2 linked regions of the Coturnix japonica genome follow. The main gene of each other region encodes a partner of the protein of the gene in region 2 in a complex. Links are inferred from orthologs where the notes say so. Each region holds a gene or a part of one and is shown on either strand. Other genes may lie near its edges.

The links.
Region 1: the proteins of MAP3K3 (region 2) and CCM2 are in contact, whole or in part, in a crystal structure (PDB 4Y5O), measured with the Homo sapiens proteins. The link is inferred for Coturnix japonica from reciprocal best matches to the Homo sapiens genes MAP3K3 and CCM2. Residues at the interface, in NP_002392.2 of Homo sapiens: Asp2, Glu3, Gln4, Ala6, Leu7, Ser9, Ile10, Met11, Asn12, Asp13, Leu14, Val15, Ala16, Leu17, Glu50, Asp82, His84, Met86, Asn88, Glu89, Leu90, Ser91, Ile92, Leu93, Arg117, Leu119, Leu121, Ser122, Gln123, Asp124; in NP_113631.1 of Homo sapiens: Leu299, Tyr302, Met303, Leu306, Arg307, Ser312, Gln313, Ile315, Gln316, Gln317, Phe318, Ala319, Ala320, Leu321, Leu322, His323, Glu324, Arg326, Glu333, Ile336, Asn337, Gln340, Leu341, Leu353, Phe356, Pro358.

Annotation. Positions count from the first base shown.
Region 1 is NC_029517.1:3,578,454-3,585,959, forward strand, and holds the end of CCM2 (cerebral cavernous malformations 2 protein), read right to left. Parts: intron 7,327-7,506; coding exon 7,188-7,326; intron 6,632-7,187; coding exon 6,493-6,631; intron 5,056-6,492; coding exon 4,775-5,055; 3' UTR 2,472-4,774; downstream 1-2,471. Other genes in the region: NACAD (NAC-alpha domain-containing protein 1), read left to right, coding at 1-444, 656-904, 975-1,063, 1,145-1,228, 1,379-1,525, 1,603-1,734, 1,881-2,003, 2,083-2,097. UniProt on the Homo sapiens protein: Component of the CCM signaling pathway which is a crucial regulator of heart and vessel formation and integrity. May act through the stabilization of endothelial cell junctions. May function as a scaffold protein for MAP2K3-MAP3K3 signaling.
Region 2 is NC_029542.1:2,176,984-2,185,273, forward strand, and holds the start of MAP3K3 (mitogen-activated protein kinase kinase kinase 3), read left to right. Parts: upstream 1-3,094; 5' UTR 3,095-3,380; coding exon 3,381-3,384; intron 3,385-8,290. UniProt on the Homo sapiens protein: Component of a protein kinase signal transduction cascade. Mediates activation of the NF-kappa-B, AP1 and DDIT3 transcriptional regulators.

The sequences.
Region 1 (7,506 bases), on a different chromosome or scaffold from region 2:
TGATGGTGGCAGCATCCAGCCCCAAAGAGGAGGAAGAAGAGGAGGTGGTGATGGTGGCAGCATCCAGCTCCACACCCAGCCTTGAGGATGACCATGAAGGCACAGAAGCCACCCCCAGCCTCTCAGAGGCTGCTGTTCTGCCCTTGGAACCCTCTCCAAAGCCCAGCTCCCAGGAGGACCCAGTGCCCCAAGAGCCCACCGAGGCTGCAGTGCCCACTCCTGAGCTCGCAGTGCCCACTGAGGTTGCAGAGCCCATTCCCAAGGTAGTGGCACCCGTTGCCATCCCTCTGCCTGCTCCCTGCCCGCCACTCTCCAAACTCATCCAAGTGCCTCCTCTCTCCTCCTCGCCGCTGCCGTGCTTGGAGGACACCTCAGGGCTCAGCGAGGCCACGCGGCCGGAGGAACGTCCGTCTGTCCTGCCGGCCTCCAGGAAGCTGCTGGAGGGTAAGAGCCGTTTGTTTTCATTGCTGTGTGCCCCCCTGGGGTCCCAAGAGGTGTGGGGCTGGGCAGTACTGGGATCAGGGTGAGCATCCCACGTACCAGCCACTGGTGGGATCCCTGGAGTCCCATTTTTGGGAGGTACTCAATGGGATTGAGCACACTGGGTTCCTATTGTCCATCTTGTGACCTCAGCATCTCCCATCTTTGCCCACAGCCCCGGAGCCATCCCCACAGAAGGAGAAGACGAGGGGCAGGAAGGTGCCGGCTGGCAGTAAGGGTGCACGAGGGCTGGATGCAGAGGGGGGACCCCGCCGTGCACCCCGGGGCTCAGTGCAGTCTGAATCAAGCTCCTCCAGTGAGGCTGAATTGCCCTACCGTGTCCCCAGCCCTGCTGAGCACCTGCCTGCCATTGCCCTGCTTGAGGACAAGGCAGCGCTGCGGCATGGTCAGGCCAACCATAAAGGTGAGGGGTGGTGTACAAGGGGGGCTTTGGGGTGTTGAGATGAGTGTCAGCTTCACTGTGGCCCTTACAGGATCATGCAATGAGTCTGAGAGCAATGATGAGTCCATCCCGGAGCTGGAGGAGCCGGAGGGAGCAGAGCCACGGCCGATGCAGACTCAGGTAAGGCTGCAGGCTTGGGGACTCTGTCCCTGGGCATCTGGGAGACCATGACACCCCATCTCCCACTGCTGTGCCCCACAGGCGCCGCTCACCCACTCGCTGGGCACCGGGGAGGAGAGCATCAGTAAAGCCAAGCAGAGCCGCAGTGAGAAGAAGGCCAGGAAGGTGGGATGGGTTCTGATGTCCCGTGGCTTTGGGGTGGTGGCGGCACTGGGGTGATCTCCCCGTTCTGTGTCCTCCCATTGCTGGAGGGCTGGGGACCCTGGTGATGTTGGACACAATGTATGGAGCTCAGCCTTGTGTCTCGTTCTTCAGGCCATGTCCAAGCTGGGATTGAGGCAGATCCATGGTGTCACCCGCATCACCATCCGCAAGTCCAAGAACATCCTCTTTGTCATCACCAAGCCTGATGTCTTCAAGAGCCCTGCGTCTGACATCTACATCGTCTTTGGGGAAGCCAAGGTGGGTCAGGGCTGTGGGTGCATCCCGGGGTCAGATAATCCATGGGGACCATTTGGTGACCTTCCTTGTCCCTGCAGATCGAGGACCTGTCGCAGCAGGTGCACAAGGCTGCGGCTGAGAAGTTCAAGGTGCCCATGGAGCACTCCCCGCTGATCACAGACACAACGCCCGCGCTCACCATCAAGGAGGAGAGCGAGGAAGAAGAAGAGGTTGGTGGGAGGCTGCTGTTGGGGTGATGGGAAGCCACCAGTTTGGCACAGGGCTGGCTTAAGGGGTGTTGGGTTGGGTGGTGAGAGGCTACTAGTAGGGTTGGGTGGTTGCCCAAGGGATGACAGCACTATTCCTGCTCCCACAGGTGGATGAGACGGGATTGGAAGTGCGGGACATAGAGTTGGTCATGGCCCAGGCCAATGTCTCACGCCCCAAAGCTGTGCGAGCACTCAGGCACAACAATAACGACATTGTCAATGCCATCATGGTGAGTAGGGGTGTCCTCATTCCTTATGTCTTTGGGGGTACAGTTCAGCCCTGCATTAACGCTGTGCTCTCTCTTGCAGGAGCTGACCATGTAGCGGCCGGCCCCGGCCCCCTGTATAGGTGCACAGTTCTCCTTACCCTGATGTCCCTCCTTGAGCCCCATGCCTCCGCCTTGCCCGCCTCCTAATGCTCAATAAATGGCCTCATGTATCACTTGGATCGCACCCTGCCTCCCTGCGTGGTAATTGGGGTCCTCTCTCAGAGGGTTGGAGGGGTCCTAAGGCCCTGGGAGAGGGGTGTGTAGCCTGCAAGATGGGGAGCAAGTAATTGGGGATGAGCAGTGGCTGGTGGAGCCCTGAGTTCCCCAATCTTTAACCCTTGAGGCTTTTGCATGCCTCATGTTAAATATGACATACTTTGGGGCACAGCAGAGAGGCAGGCGAGGGTTTTAACAAGGAGACAGACCGCAGCCAGGTGCAGAGTTATATTTACCTGTAACAAATACTCCATACAGAAAGCATTACATACAAAACACCCCCGGGGTGTCCCCGGTTCCCCCTATGGTGCTCGGGGTCTTGGGGGCTTGTCATGGTTGGGGGGGAGCAGCAGGTGGGGTTTTGTGGGGGAAACACTCAGTCACCTCAGCGGAGCTTTAACAACCAGTTCTGTCCAGAACTAAATCACATTTCCCAGCAAAGGGGGGGTAAGGGAGGGTATAAAAAAATACCTGTGAGCTGCTACGGCTTCTGCTAAATGCATCTCTGTATACAATCAATCCAAAAATAGGGCTATTCCAGATTTCCTGACGCTGTCTGTGTCGGTGGTGGTGGTTTCTTCTTTATAGACCTGCATGTGTAAGAAGGCACTGAGGACTCAGCATAGCCAGGGTGCTGGAGCAATGCTCCCATGCTCAGTGGGAGCTCAATGCTTGTGCTCCTGACTTGTGAGGTTTTGTTACTTGTTCCTAACCCTGATGCTGCTGCAGGGCTTGCAGCTCTCTTTGCTCTCCTGCTTGTGGTCCTTCTGCTGATAGAGCAGCCTCAAATGGCGAAGGGAAGAGTTTTATGGCCTGTGATTTGCGGCGTGGAGCTGCCTTTTAAAAGGAAGTGCCCCATAGCAGGACACGAGTGTGCACCTTTTAAAGATGAAGCACTGAGCTGTGGGGTCGTTGGGGCTGCAATCCTGGACTGCTGTGCCTGCAGGAGCAGGGTAAGAGGTACCCAGAGGGGCAGAGCAGAGTGAGGGGGAGGATGTAGGGATGAAGGTTTGGCTCTGGTGGGCTCTGTCCCAGCTGTGAAGGGAGCATGGATCCACAATGGGAAGTCATTTGGTTAATGAGGGAGCAGCCTGGGCACTGGGAGGATGGTGACAAGCTTCTGCATGGGGCTGCGGAGGATAAGCAACATGGGAAGGGCAGTGGGAGCTGTGGGATGTGTTACTGCAGTGGAAGCAGTGCAGGATGCAGACGCAGCCCTGCACAGGACAAAGCACAGAGGAATGTGCTGGAGGGGCTGGATTTTTCCTGCAAAGTGCTGAGCAAGTGTCTGGGTTTGGGTGCTGCAGAGGCCAGCCAGCTCCAGGCAAGGGCACAGGGATACCTCTGTGTCCCTGTGTTATACATAACAGAACCACCCCTACTCCTCACTGCATTTGGTCCTTCTTCCATCCCACCTCCTTCACAGGATGGTGCTGGAGGTGCTTTGGGCAAGGGCAGGGCTTTGGGGGGGTACAATGCTGAGCGCAGCAGCACTCATGAGTATGAAACAAAACAGGGACAGTCCTTCCCTAAATGGGCTGCAGCCTGTGCTTCCCCTCATACTCACAGCAGTGGGCAAAGAATAGGAAGCTCCAGTTCTACGACCTGCTCAAGCCTGTGCTCTCTTCCTGCTGCTTGTGTTTCTGTGCTGACTGTGGTTGCTTCTACCCCAGCTCCTGTGTGCCCAGCAAGCAGAGCTGCGTGCCTGTGGGTTCTGCCAGCACCTCCCTTCAAGCAGGATTGCTTCCTGGGCAAGGGATATAGATTAAAAAAATAAGTGTGTATTTATAACCACGTGTAAAATATTTACAATATGTACACCGTGTGCTGGAGACCCCATTGTGTTTGTCCAGGAGCAGCTCTCACCTCCATGGGTGTGTGATAATGTCCTTGGGGACCTCAGGAGCCAGCAGAGGCTTTGTGTCACCTCCCACGACTGTGAACGTGGGACAGGCGCTGCCTCCATCCTGCCAACTGCTGGAGCAAAGGCAAGGAGTGGGTCGGGTGGTGTTTGTAATCCAGGCTCCCTGCAGGACAGAAGTGAAAGCACAAAACTGGTGAGCCCAGCTGGCTGCAAGCTGAGGATGGAGTGGAGGGGGGGAAGCAGAGCCCCTGCAGGCCTGGATGCAAAATGCTGTGCCAACTGCAAGGCTAGGCTTAAATAATTCACATTGTGGTAAACTTCATTCAAAAGAGGGGAGGAGGAGAGCAGTTACAAGAAGGACACCATGTGCAAAACTGTAAACCAGGGAGGGAGAGGGCTGTAGGCAACCTTTTCCATACAGGGCTCTCCCAGCCTTGCTCCCCACTCGGCTGACGGAACCAGGGAAGGCTGGAGGATGGGCTCCTGCCTGGCTCCTCCTTTGCAGCGTGCCTGTGGCAACGCACACCTTCACAGTAAGAGGGCACAGATGGCCGTTGGTGTGGATGGGAGAGTGACTACATCCTGCTCCACCCCAAAAACCTCTTTGGAAACGAGGGTCTGTTGGGCAGGTGCTGTTGAAGCCGGCTGGCTCTCAGGAGGAGTCGCGGTCCATGCTGCAGCCCAGCGCCTCGATGTCGTTGCTGATGTGTGAGATCATCCGGTCCCACTCGTCCTCCTCTGAGGGCACAGACTGGTCATCAGAGCTGCCAGCTGCGCCATTGCCATTGGTGGTGGAGTTGGAGGTGGTGCTCAGCGTCCGCCTGTACCTCCCAAAGCTGTCCGTGATGATGCCACGGCCGTCCTTCACCCCGATGGTTTCCAGGAAGTTCTCAAAGTGTTGGCTGTCCTTCTCAGGAATGAAGGGCCGCAGGCCTTTCCCAGGGGAGCAAAGACAAGGAGGAGAACATGAGCTGCTGTGTTTCATGCAGGTAGGGGTTACTAAAGGAGCTCGTTTTGGGGTTCAGGCTCTGAGCAGTGCTTTTTGGGGCTGCTGGTGCTCCCATCTCGTGGCTGTGTGTCATGATGACAGCCCCAAGAAAGGCAGATGTGTATAAGCCAAGGACAATTCCTGGGCCTGAAGTGGGATTTCTGAGCTCAAAAGGATTGTCTGCGACTTCATCACTGAGCCATATTGCTGGGCTTTGCTCATCTCGTTAGTGTAACAGCATCAGCGTGAGATTAAGGCCCCCAGCAGAGTGCATGCGGAGCACTTGGGGGCCATCTGTCTGCATCCCTGCACCCTGCTGTGGGCCAGCATCACACACTGGGCACTGTCACCACAGGGTCACAGCATGGGGTTATGAAGTGAGTGGCTTCATTATAGCAGCCAACACAGCTCTGTCTCTGGCAGTTTCTGGGCGTGCTACTGACTCCCCTCGCCTCTCCCAACCCCACCTTTAGGGCCACAGTGATTTCCCCTCCCCACCAAGGGAAGTGTACACCTGAAAACTTGCAAGGCCTCTGGTAGGGGCTGCAGGAGGGAGTTAAGAGCTCTGTGATCTTTAAGGTCCCATCCAACCTAAGCCATTCTATGATTCTTTACAGGAAAGCTGAGTCTAAACTGCTTTTCAGCAGTGTAGTCAGTATAAAATCAGCCTCCCAGCACAGGGATTGTGTTGTGTGTTGGCTTTGGTAATGGCGACATAAAAAGCAAGCAGGCTGTGTGCATAGGGATGAAAGAAAATGCTTTTGTGCTGGTGCAGATGCCTGACTGCTTCTGTGTGCCCAGGACAAAAGGAGTGGAGGCCACGCAGCCCCCCCTCCCTGTGTTGTTGAGTCACTCTGACTGCTTTCAGCAGCTCTCTATCTAAATGAGAGCAGCAGCAGGCATCCGTGAGTGAGAGCTGAGGCAGGGCCCTGTGCTCAGCCCTGAGGTTCCTTTGCTCTCTGCCATTAATGTTGTTTCAGATTATTAGAGCCAAAATGAAAGCAAGGAGCTTGAGTTGAGGGACTCTGAGAGCCTCTGAGGCAGTTGGCCTCCTTTTAGTGAAGGGAAAGGAAATGGTCCCGCTTGCCTCCCAAGAAATGGTGTCAGCATGTGTCTGCTGGCACTGTACTTGGTGCACACCTTCCCTCCATGACTGTAAGGACACGCTGTGAGAGCACAGATCCTCAAGGCATCTCATCAGTCCAACTAGCTGAACACCCAAATTGTACTGTTTAACACCTCACTGCTTGGCCAAGGACATCGAGTGCTACCACTAAGCCACCAAACCAAGGTATCAGAGGAGCCAAGGAGCTCATCTGGAAGCCTAGATGACAACCAGCAGCAGGCAAAAACAAAGCCAAACACAAAGGGAAGACACTCACCCAAGAGCAGGAACTTCCTACTGTCCCCATAGAGCTGCTTCAAGTTGATGCAGAACTCGTGTATCGAGGCTCCGTTGCGATATTCGTGCAGGAGCATTGCAAACTGCTGGATCTCTTGGGAAGAGAGCTTTGTTCGTAGCTGAGGACATAAGCACACCACAAATTGTGCTGATTTTTTTTTAGAGCACTCTTTGAGTTCTGATGAGATGGGAGGGAGAAGAGATGGTGGGAAGCCTGGGAATGGGGTTTGCTTCTATTGTGGTGAGAACCACTGAGCTGCAGTGATGAACTCAGCAGGGTGGGATGGTGCAAACTGCCCTGAGCTGCCAGCTGTCCAGCTTTTTAACTGGGAAAAGCTGTAAGCACACTGCAGAAGTGCAGGTCATGAAGCGATGGACATGGGAACACTGTGTGTGCCCCATCACAGTGAGAGGGGACAACAAGGTGCAGGTGCTTTAGAATGGGAAAGATGAGTGCCTGCACTGGTCTCCAGGCATGAGTTCTTTGAAAGGGTGATGCATTCCTTCACCAGCGTGGACAAAATCACATCACCTGCAGGGCCCAGACAATGCTGGAACCAACAGGGAGGAGCTCAGACGATGCCAAGGGCACAAATGTGCTCCCATGAACACCAAAAGGGAAGAAAACCTTCCCACCCTTCCCTATGGGCAGACGTAGCCTTGAGGGCACCCTACCGTCATCATGTAGTCCTGGAGCAGCTCTGTGGCTGTAGTGCTCAGCTCGCTCTCACTGATGGTTTTGATGTGTGGAGACTGTTGTGTCAAGAAGGAAGAGGGAGAGTTGTCACCTGCATCCAAGGTTTCTGGAAAGGAACTGAAACACAAATGGCTTGTGAGCTATCCAGAGCTCCTTAGGCACCTCCTGCTGAGCACAGCATGGGAGAGTCTAGGGGAGTGGTCATGTGCAGCACAGAGGGACTGTCCCTGTGATGTGTAGAATATGAAGCCCTACAGGGGAAGAGATCCCCTCCAATTGCTTTCTCATTTCAGACCA
Region 2 (8,290 bases):
CAGGAGCTGAATCCCAAAGGGCTGCTCCAGTCTTCCTGTGCAACTTCTAACCAGTCACTGGCTCTGTGCAGCACTCTCGTAATCCCTGTTTTCATGATTAATTTCCTTTTCTTCCTTTTTTGCAGTGTGACAGCATTAATCACCTCTGTAAAGTTCCTTTAAAACAAATGAGCTCACTATGAACATGGATGCTGCTGGGGAGTCTGGGTGAATACCTATGCTGATGATACATAAGATACCTTCAAGCAGTCTGAACAACTTTATGTTGAATTAAGTGTGCTTTGTTGTTGCTGTTTACAGAAATGAAGCTTCTTTTCTGGAAAAAAGCAGCTTGAAAAGGATGTGGGCAAATCTGGGTGGAAAACCACAGACTATCATCTTGTACTGCGGTGTTACTGTAAAATGAATAACCTCATTTTTATGCTGAAAATTTGCATTAAGCAGGGAGTAAAAGTGAAAAAAGAATTATTCTTACTTTACCCCTGAAGATATATTAAATGGGCACCTGCTAAATTTCCATGGTAGAAATGTAGCTGCAGTTCAGGAAAGGTACAGCAGCTTGTCCAGGAAAAATAATGTGAGGAGGGAAGTCTGCAGTGCCCCCCCCTCAAACAGCCTAATGGCACTTGTATATAGGCAGTGTTGTGATAATGTCTCTAAAAAGAGAATAGAGATGCAAAACAGCAGTTTTTGTCTGCCTGTGTGTGTGTGTCAGGCTAGATAGGTGTGTGGAGTAATGAACCATTAAGGACAAATCGTTCTGTTTTCAAAGGAAGAAAAAAGCTTCAGTGAAATCCAGGCTTTCTGGTTAACTGGGGATGGAAGGGGCACATTGCACTGGGGTGCCCATCTCCTGCCATCTGCTGGGGTCTCCTGGCTCATTGACACGGGTAGCAACTAGCAAGCCTGGTATCTGTTTAAGTAAAGCAGCTTTCTGCACAAAGGGCTTCAGTGGGTTTCATGTAGCAGGACTTTGGCTGAGCATTTTGTATGAAAACATGGAAGAATTGGAAGACAGATGAAAATACTGAAGGGTAAAGTGACTATAGTGTGTTTTGACATCAGAGCTGATGCACTAGGGAATTAATCCTGAGTTTCTCCACTTCTAGTGCTGCAATTAATCATTAAAACCTTTCTATAATGACCTTGGCACACAAGAAAAAGAATCAAGTGTGATAATTAAATGTGGTGATGAACAGAAGTGGGGAGCTTTCCTAATACAAGGGAACTAGAACATCTTAGGGAACTGATGGCTTTGAAGAGTGAGAAACAGGCAGGAGGTGAAATTCAGCAGCAGAAAGTGTGAAGCTGTGAATGTAGATGTGAAGGAAAGGAGGCTGGATTTATTTAGTAGTTAAATGGTAGCAGTGAGTGTGAAAATGCATTTAGAAAGATTGGTCTAATGGCAAATATGATGATGCTGTCATATAAAAGAGAACTAAAATTAGAATAGAGGCCCAAAAAAAGGCTACCAGGAAGGCACCACAGAGACTGTGTTATTAGAAGAGTTAAAATGGCTTACTCATCTATTAAAGTGGAGCCTGAAATGGGATATGATTATCTTCTTGATGTATTTAGAGAGAAAACACCAGGGAAGAGGAAAGGATAATTTAAGTGAAAGGATAATCTTGGCATGAAAACAAACAGCTGGGCACGAATGTACAGGAAAACTAGAAAGAGTTTTGTAATTTCAGAGTGATACAAGAGATGCTAAAAATGAGCCTAAACACTGGTAATGTTGGGCTGTGTTTTCGGATGGGAACTTGAAGGTGATATGTGTGGAAACCCTCTGCTCCAAAACCAAAGGCAGGGCTGAGATGATTGGCTCTGTGCACAGCTTCTGGCCCTTGATGGCTCAGATCTGTTGATCTAAGCATTCCTTTACAGATTGATTTGTCTGTCTCATTTGGCGTAGCAGGATCTTTTCATTATCCCAGATAACATCATCATGATTTGGTGATGCCCTGAACTCTTCCTGGCCCTCACTTTAGGCAATTTTTCCTTTCCAATCCAGTTTTCCTTCCTGTGTTTTCCAGCTGATGCAGCCTCTCAGACATGAAAACATTTAGAAAACAACACGCTTGCTGTTAGATGTCTGCTGGATAGACAAGCAGCTGCTGAAGCCATCTGCTCAAGGTGGGATTCCCAGCAGCAGGGTGGCCATCATTGCATTGAGGAAGGAGAGCTGGACTTGTTCTTAATGAAACAAAACCCCTCTGCTATGCCAAATACACCCCCAAGGTGGAATGGAAGCAGGGCAGAGCAGCTGAAGGCTGGCTGCTGTTTTTAGAAGATGAGTTGATTTATGGAGCTTGAGGTAGAATTATTAGCTTAGATTGGACAGGAACAGCAGTTCTTTGCCCTAATATCTGTCTCATGGCATGTTTGTGTTGTGTTTAGCAGGGATGTTTTCTGCTTTATGGGCACAAGGGGAGGTGGCAGCTGGGAATGTTAAAGGAGGAAGAGCCATCAGGAGCCCATCAGCAGGTGAATGAATGGCACAGGTGAGCAGTTCTATTTCTAAGGACACAACAACCACATCCTCATTAATATGAACCCCTAAATGAAAGGAGAGGGGTTGAGTGAGCTCCAGCCTCGTGTACCTAAAGCTCATCCATGTGGATTTACTTTCATACCAAGTAACTTCAACAAAGGCACCGTGCCTTTCCCCATTTCCCCCCTGCCTTTCCCCCCTTCCCCTTGCCTTTTTCCCCCTTCCCCTTGCCTTTTTCCCCCTTCCCCTTGCCTTTTTCCCCCTTCCCCTTGCCTTTTTCCCCCTTCCCCTTGCCTTTCCCATCCCATATTGAGCCCTTAGGGAGAAGAGCCGGGAGCGGTGGGCACTAGGACCCAGCGGCGCAGTCCGAGCGGTGGGCGGGGCCTCGCTGCCGCCCGTCATTCTGATTGGCAGCCGGCTGAGGGCCGGTCCCCTCCGTTGGCGGGCGAGGAGGCGGGGTCAGCGCAGCGAGCAGCACGACCCCCAACGATTGGCTGGCGACTGTCTGAGCGGCGAGCCGATTGGCGGGCTGTGCCGTCGGGTGGGTGGCTCGGCGGCGCTGATTGGCTGAAAGCGGCGGGTCGGCCCCTGTGATTGGCAGGCGGCGGCGGCGGGTGCGCGGTGGCGGCCGAGCGGTTTGTTTTGCTCGCGGCCCGGTCGCTCGGTGCCGCCGGCGGCGGGTGGGGAGAGACCGGCACCGGCCGAGTCCCGGCCCCACAACCCGCAGCCCGGAGCGGGGCCGCCGGAAGGAGGCGGCTGTTTGGGCCTGGGAATGTGGCGGCGGCTCTGAGCCCTCCCCCTCGGCCCGGCCGCCATGGAGAGACGGCGGTGACAGCAGCGTACCACAGCGCGCCGCCCGCACGGAGCGGGCCCAGAGCCCACAACCATGGGTGAGAACGGGGGGTGAGCGGGATGGGGGCGGCTGTAGGATCGGACAGGACTGGGCCGCGATTGGGATGAGGGGCGGGGGCGGGACGAGACGGGGCGTCGCCTGAGGGAGGGGGGGGAACGGCCGGGGGGGCCTTAAATCTGGATGTTGGGCTTAGAAAGTCGGGCTGGGGGGTCTTAAATCCTCGATATTGGCCTTATAAAGTCGGGCTGGGCTTTGTGGTGTTGGTACCCGATTCACTTTTTGCTTTTCAGCGGTAAACGATGTAGTTTTTCTAAAGCAAGATCAGGTTGGACGGGGCCTTGAGCAACTTGATCTGTGGGGTCTCTATGGGGATCTGTTGGGATCTATGGGGTCTCTATGGAGTCTATGGGGATCTATGGGGTCTCTGTGGGGATCTATGGGGTCTCCTGGGCAACCTGATCTAGTAAAGGTGTATGTTTGGTGGCCCTGCTAGGCAGGGGGGTTGGAACTACATGATCCTTGAGGTCCCTTCCAACCCGGGTCACTCTGTGATTCTGTAAAGCAGAACTGACTCATTTGCTGGCAGGGGAATCACTGCTGTTACCTGCAGCGCTTTGTGGGCCGTAGCTTTGATTCTTCCTCCAAGTTTGGTGCTGTGGGACTCCCTCAGCGTTCAGTCTGTGCATGTAATATGTTCACTTCTTTATATTGTAACTGCATTGCAAACGTCACTCCAAGCAAATGCAGGATGTTCCGTTCCCTTTGTGCCCTGAGACGATCCCAGGCACAGCAAGACCTACAAGAAATGCCTATTGTATAAATGCAGTAGATGGGCAGGTCTATAAGTGGGCTCCTCTTCTCTAAAGAGAGATGTCTGGTGTTCCCCAGGCAGTGTTATCTCTGCAGGAGCCAACCTGATGGTGCAGAACTCACAGCAGCCAACCAGGAGGGTGCAGAGCTTCCATGGAATTGCTTTGTGGGGCTGTTGGATGCCTCTTGATAAACACGTGAGCACGGGATGAAGAAGAACAGTTCCACGGTCGTGTTGTAATGGCAATACTGATTGCTTGCAAAGGGAGAGATCCAAACTCATTAGGCTGTTGTGAGCAGATCTTTTAGAGACTGTTTTGCTGTGACCCTGAGCTTTCTCCCACCTTGTTTCTCATGAGATTCTCTGACAGATGAGTGCTGCCATTGAGAGGTCAGTGTTGCAGGTTGCTGAGCTCCATTGATAGAACCACAGCTCGCTGGCACTTCGCAGAAAGGGCAGTCATTTCCAAACCTGTGCTTTCCAAACAGAGCTCCTCAGCAGCAATAGGCTCACTTGCTTCTAATACAGAGAAACGTGAGTGTATGTGGGAAGCAGAGGGGAGGAGCAGCACTCAGGCCCAGAGTGAAGTGCTCCTTGCAGTCCTGCTGCTGAGGCTCTCCCCGGCCTGCTCTGCTTTCCTGCCTGTGTCACTTCCTTCCCTTAGCTCTCATTGCCTGGCGCTGTGCAGTGACAGCCCCCACTGCTGGGGGAGGGAGGGGGCTGAGCCCAGGGTCGGTCAATGCCAGCTACAATCCTCAGTGTGAGGAATTTCTCAGTGTGAAGAACCTCAGATACATATCCCAGCTCCATAGGGATGCTCAGCTTTTTCTTCTAAACCTTCAGGCCAAGTTTTCTGTTTGAAATAAACTTGCTCGTTGCCCCTGGTTCTGCTGGCAGAATAGCCAGCAGCATCGCTGTTGGTGGCAGCAGATAACAAATGCGTGTGTTTGCTTTTCTCAAACAACTTCTAGTGCCTTCTATTATCATGCTATATAAAATACCATCCTGGATCATAGAGGTTTACAGGCTTTTCTGCACTCTGCAGACGCTTTTACTTTGGGGTTTGTTTGTTTTTCTTTAACCCTATTCCTGTTTTGTACCACTGCAAACACACCGACCTGCTCGACCCCGTGGAGCAAACCCTGTACGCGTGGAAATAAACGCGTTATGAGGATGAAGGGTTTTCTCTGTGAGCAGCAGTTCCCCTTTATCCGATGGTAGAAAACCCGTGAGTGTAGTTTTTCAAACATGAGAAGCATTTCCTGGACAACATCTTTGAGCACAAAGCAGAGCTGTGTTTCCCAGACCTACTGGAGACGTAGCAGCAAAGGGTCCTTCAGTGAGCTTCCAAAATTGCTTATTTTTCATTCCTAATAACTTTTGCATTGTGTGATTAATGTGATGCTGCTGCATATACTCCCTTAAAGCCAATCTGTGCAAATCCTCTCTTTGGATGGAAAGAAAGAAGTATTCATGCTTGGTAACATTAAATCCATCACAATGTTGTCCTGAATGGAAACATTTCTTCCTTTGGCAAATGTGTATTTCACACCGATTTTGTGTTAAAAAATGATAAATACTCTGTTTCCCACCAAAACAAGGATGAATTCTCTTCTGTATATTGTCTGAGGGAGATGGTAGCCCAGTCTGTGATACTAACATCACATAAGCTCCACCTGCTGCTGCGTGGCATAGCGTGGCTGTGTGCTGTAAGATCATAGCATTAGTGCTTGCCTGCAGGTGAATGGAGCACCCAGCAGTGCTGCGACCCTTCCTGCTCACCAGGGGGTTCTGCTGCTACCCAGGTGCTGCCATGAAGAGTTTCACGTTGCAGAGTTGTGTCAGTGCACAAGTGAGCTAGTAAGTAGTTGCACATCTAAGCTGCAGCCTGCATCAGGAGGCTGTGGATGCCCCATCCCTGCAGGCATTCAAGGCCAGGCTGGATGTGGCTCTGGGCAGCCTGGGCTGCTGGGTGGTGACCCTGCACATAGCAGGGGGTTGGAAATGGATGAACATTGTGGTCCTTTTGAACCCAGGCCATTCCATGATGTGATTCTGTGATATGATTTTGTGATAGGAGGCAGATAGCTGCTCGGACACGTGTCTTCTCTGCCCACTTCCTCCAGCAAATGAGAGACTTTGAAAATCAGCCGACGTGAGCACAGCCTGGGCTTTGGCACCAACAGCTTGTGAGTGCATCTCAACTGCTGCTCCTTGTTTTGGAGTGAGGTGCCATGGTGTTCAGACCAATTTCTCATTCATAAACGTATTCTTTGATTGACTTGATTCCGTGTTATGAGCACCCAGTTAGAAGCTGTTTTCATAGCTGTTTTGCTTGCCCAAAGGAACCCTGACCGTCTGCCAAGACAAGCTCTTCTTCATCCTCCTGGTAGCCAGCCAAACCCAAACTGTGCTGTAGTGGAAAACTTGCATCCCTGCTCCTCACATTGTGCCTTGGGTGCTGGGAGCTCAGCAGTTCACCACTCCATCGTTGTCACGGTTTGTTATGCGGAGGTGCAGCCCCTATTGGCTGCCTTGCTCAAAGATTATGCTCAATACCAAACAAGAGGAAGGAATGAGAGTAAATTGGAGATGCTCCAGGGAGGTAAAAGGGGAAGCGTTCAGATGTAAGGTTGAAAACATTTTTTTTGTTAATAAAAAAATAAAAAGCATGCTGTGCTGAGAGGAGAAGGCTGTGGGGAGACCTCATTGTGGCCTTCCAGTATTTGAAAGGAGTGTATTAGCAGGAGGGGGAATGGGTGTTTGTGAGGGTGGGCAGTGATAGGACAAGAGGAATGGTTTTAAATGGAGACAGAGGAGGTTTAGCTTGGATCTTAGGAGGAAGTTTTTCACCCATAGGATGGTGACGCACTGGAACAGGTTGCCCAAGGAGGCTGTGGATGCCCCATCCCTGCAGGCATTCAAGGCCAGGCTGGATGTGGCTCTGGGCAGCCTGGGCTGGTGATTAGCAACCCTGCCCATAGCAGGGGGTTGGAACTGGATGAGCACTGTGGGCCTTTCCAACCCAGACCATTCTATGGTTCATTCACAACCTTTTTTTCACATTTTTCTCCCACAAGGGGTTACGGAGTGCTGAGATGGATCCTAGCAATTATTTCCTTTGGCTGAAGTGCTCTTCAAAAGCAACCTCTTCTTTTGGTTATGTTACTTACACCCCTGCTATAAGAGACAGTGTAGTTATTGTCCCATCTGGCTTGTCTTGGAAAGCAGCGATTTGGGGCAAATGGGATGGGAGAGTTCTTTCCATCCCCATCTCCAGCCTGGCCTGCTTGTTGTTGCTGTTCTGATGGCAGTGCTCAGTAGCGCTCACATCAGCTCGAGCATATCTTTGAATTTATATAACCTGATCAGCTTTATCTCTTAATAAATGCTACAGTGCCTTGTCGAAATCCCGTAGTAGCCCATAATAGGCTTTTTCTCAGTGATGCTGGGAGCAAATGTGAATGCAAGATCTCAGAGTGTGGGCTCCAAAGTGAGCTTCAGCTCTGAGCAGCGCTGTGTTGCATTTATTGATTCCTGATACGATCAGAATCATTGAAACCATGAATTTGTTTGTTAATAGTCCCTTGAAGCCCCAGAGCTGGGGAACTCTGGTATCTGGTCTGCTACACATGAAGAGGTTCCAGAATGAGCTCAAACATGCTGCTTGGATTGAAAATGCCTCCTGTTGTTCACCTTGTGTCCCTTCAGCGTGTCAGAGCAGCATCAAGCTCCAATGCTATCAAGAAGGCTGGGTTTAAATTAACTAGAAGAGGTTTAATGGGAGTACAGTCCTGTTTTTCTAATGGTTAAACAATAGCTCTTACCTTTGGGGGAGGAATAAAGCTGCCTCTCAGGAAAAGTTAAGCAGAGGAGGGCTTGCATTGCCTTGCAGCACATGGTGAAGGTGCAGTGGAAGCACTGCTGCTCCTTGCAGCACTGAGTGACCTTCTAGGCAGGAACTGGGGAGAAAGCCAGTGTCGTTTCTGTTCTGGCTGGGATGAGTTTAGATGATACCCCCTTACACACAGCTCTGTTTTCTGTTTTCTTGCTTCTGAATGTTGGTAGCATTAGTTCCTGCATGCTTTAGAAGTACATCCCACATCTGTCATCTTTAAGCATTGCAAAGATC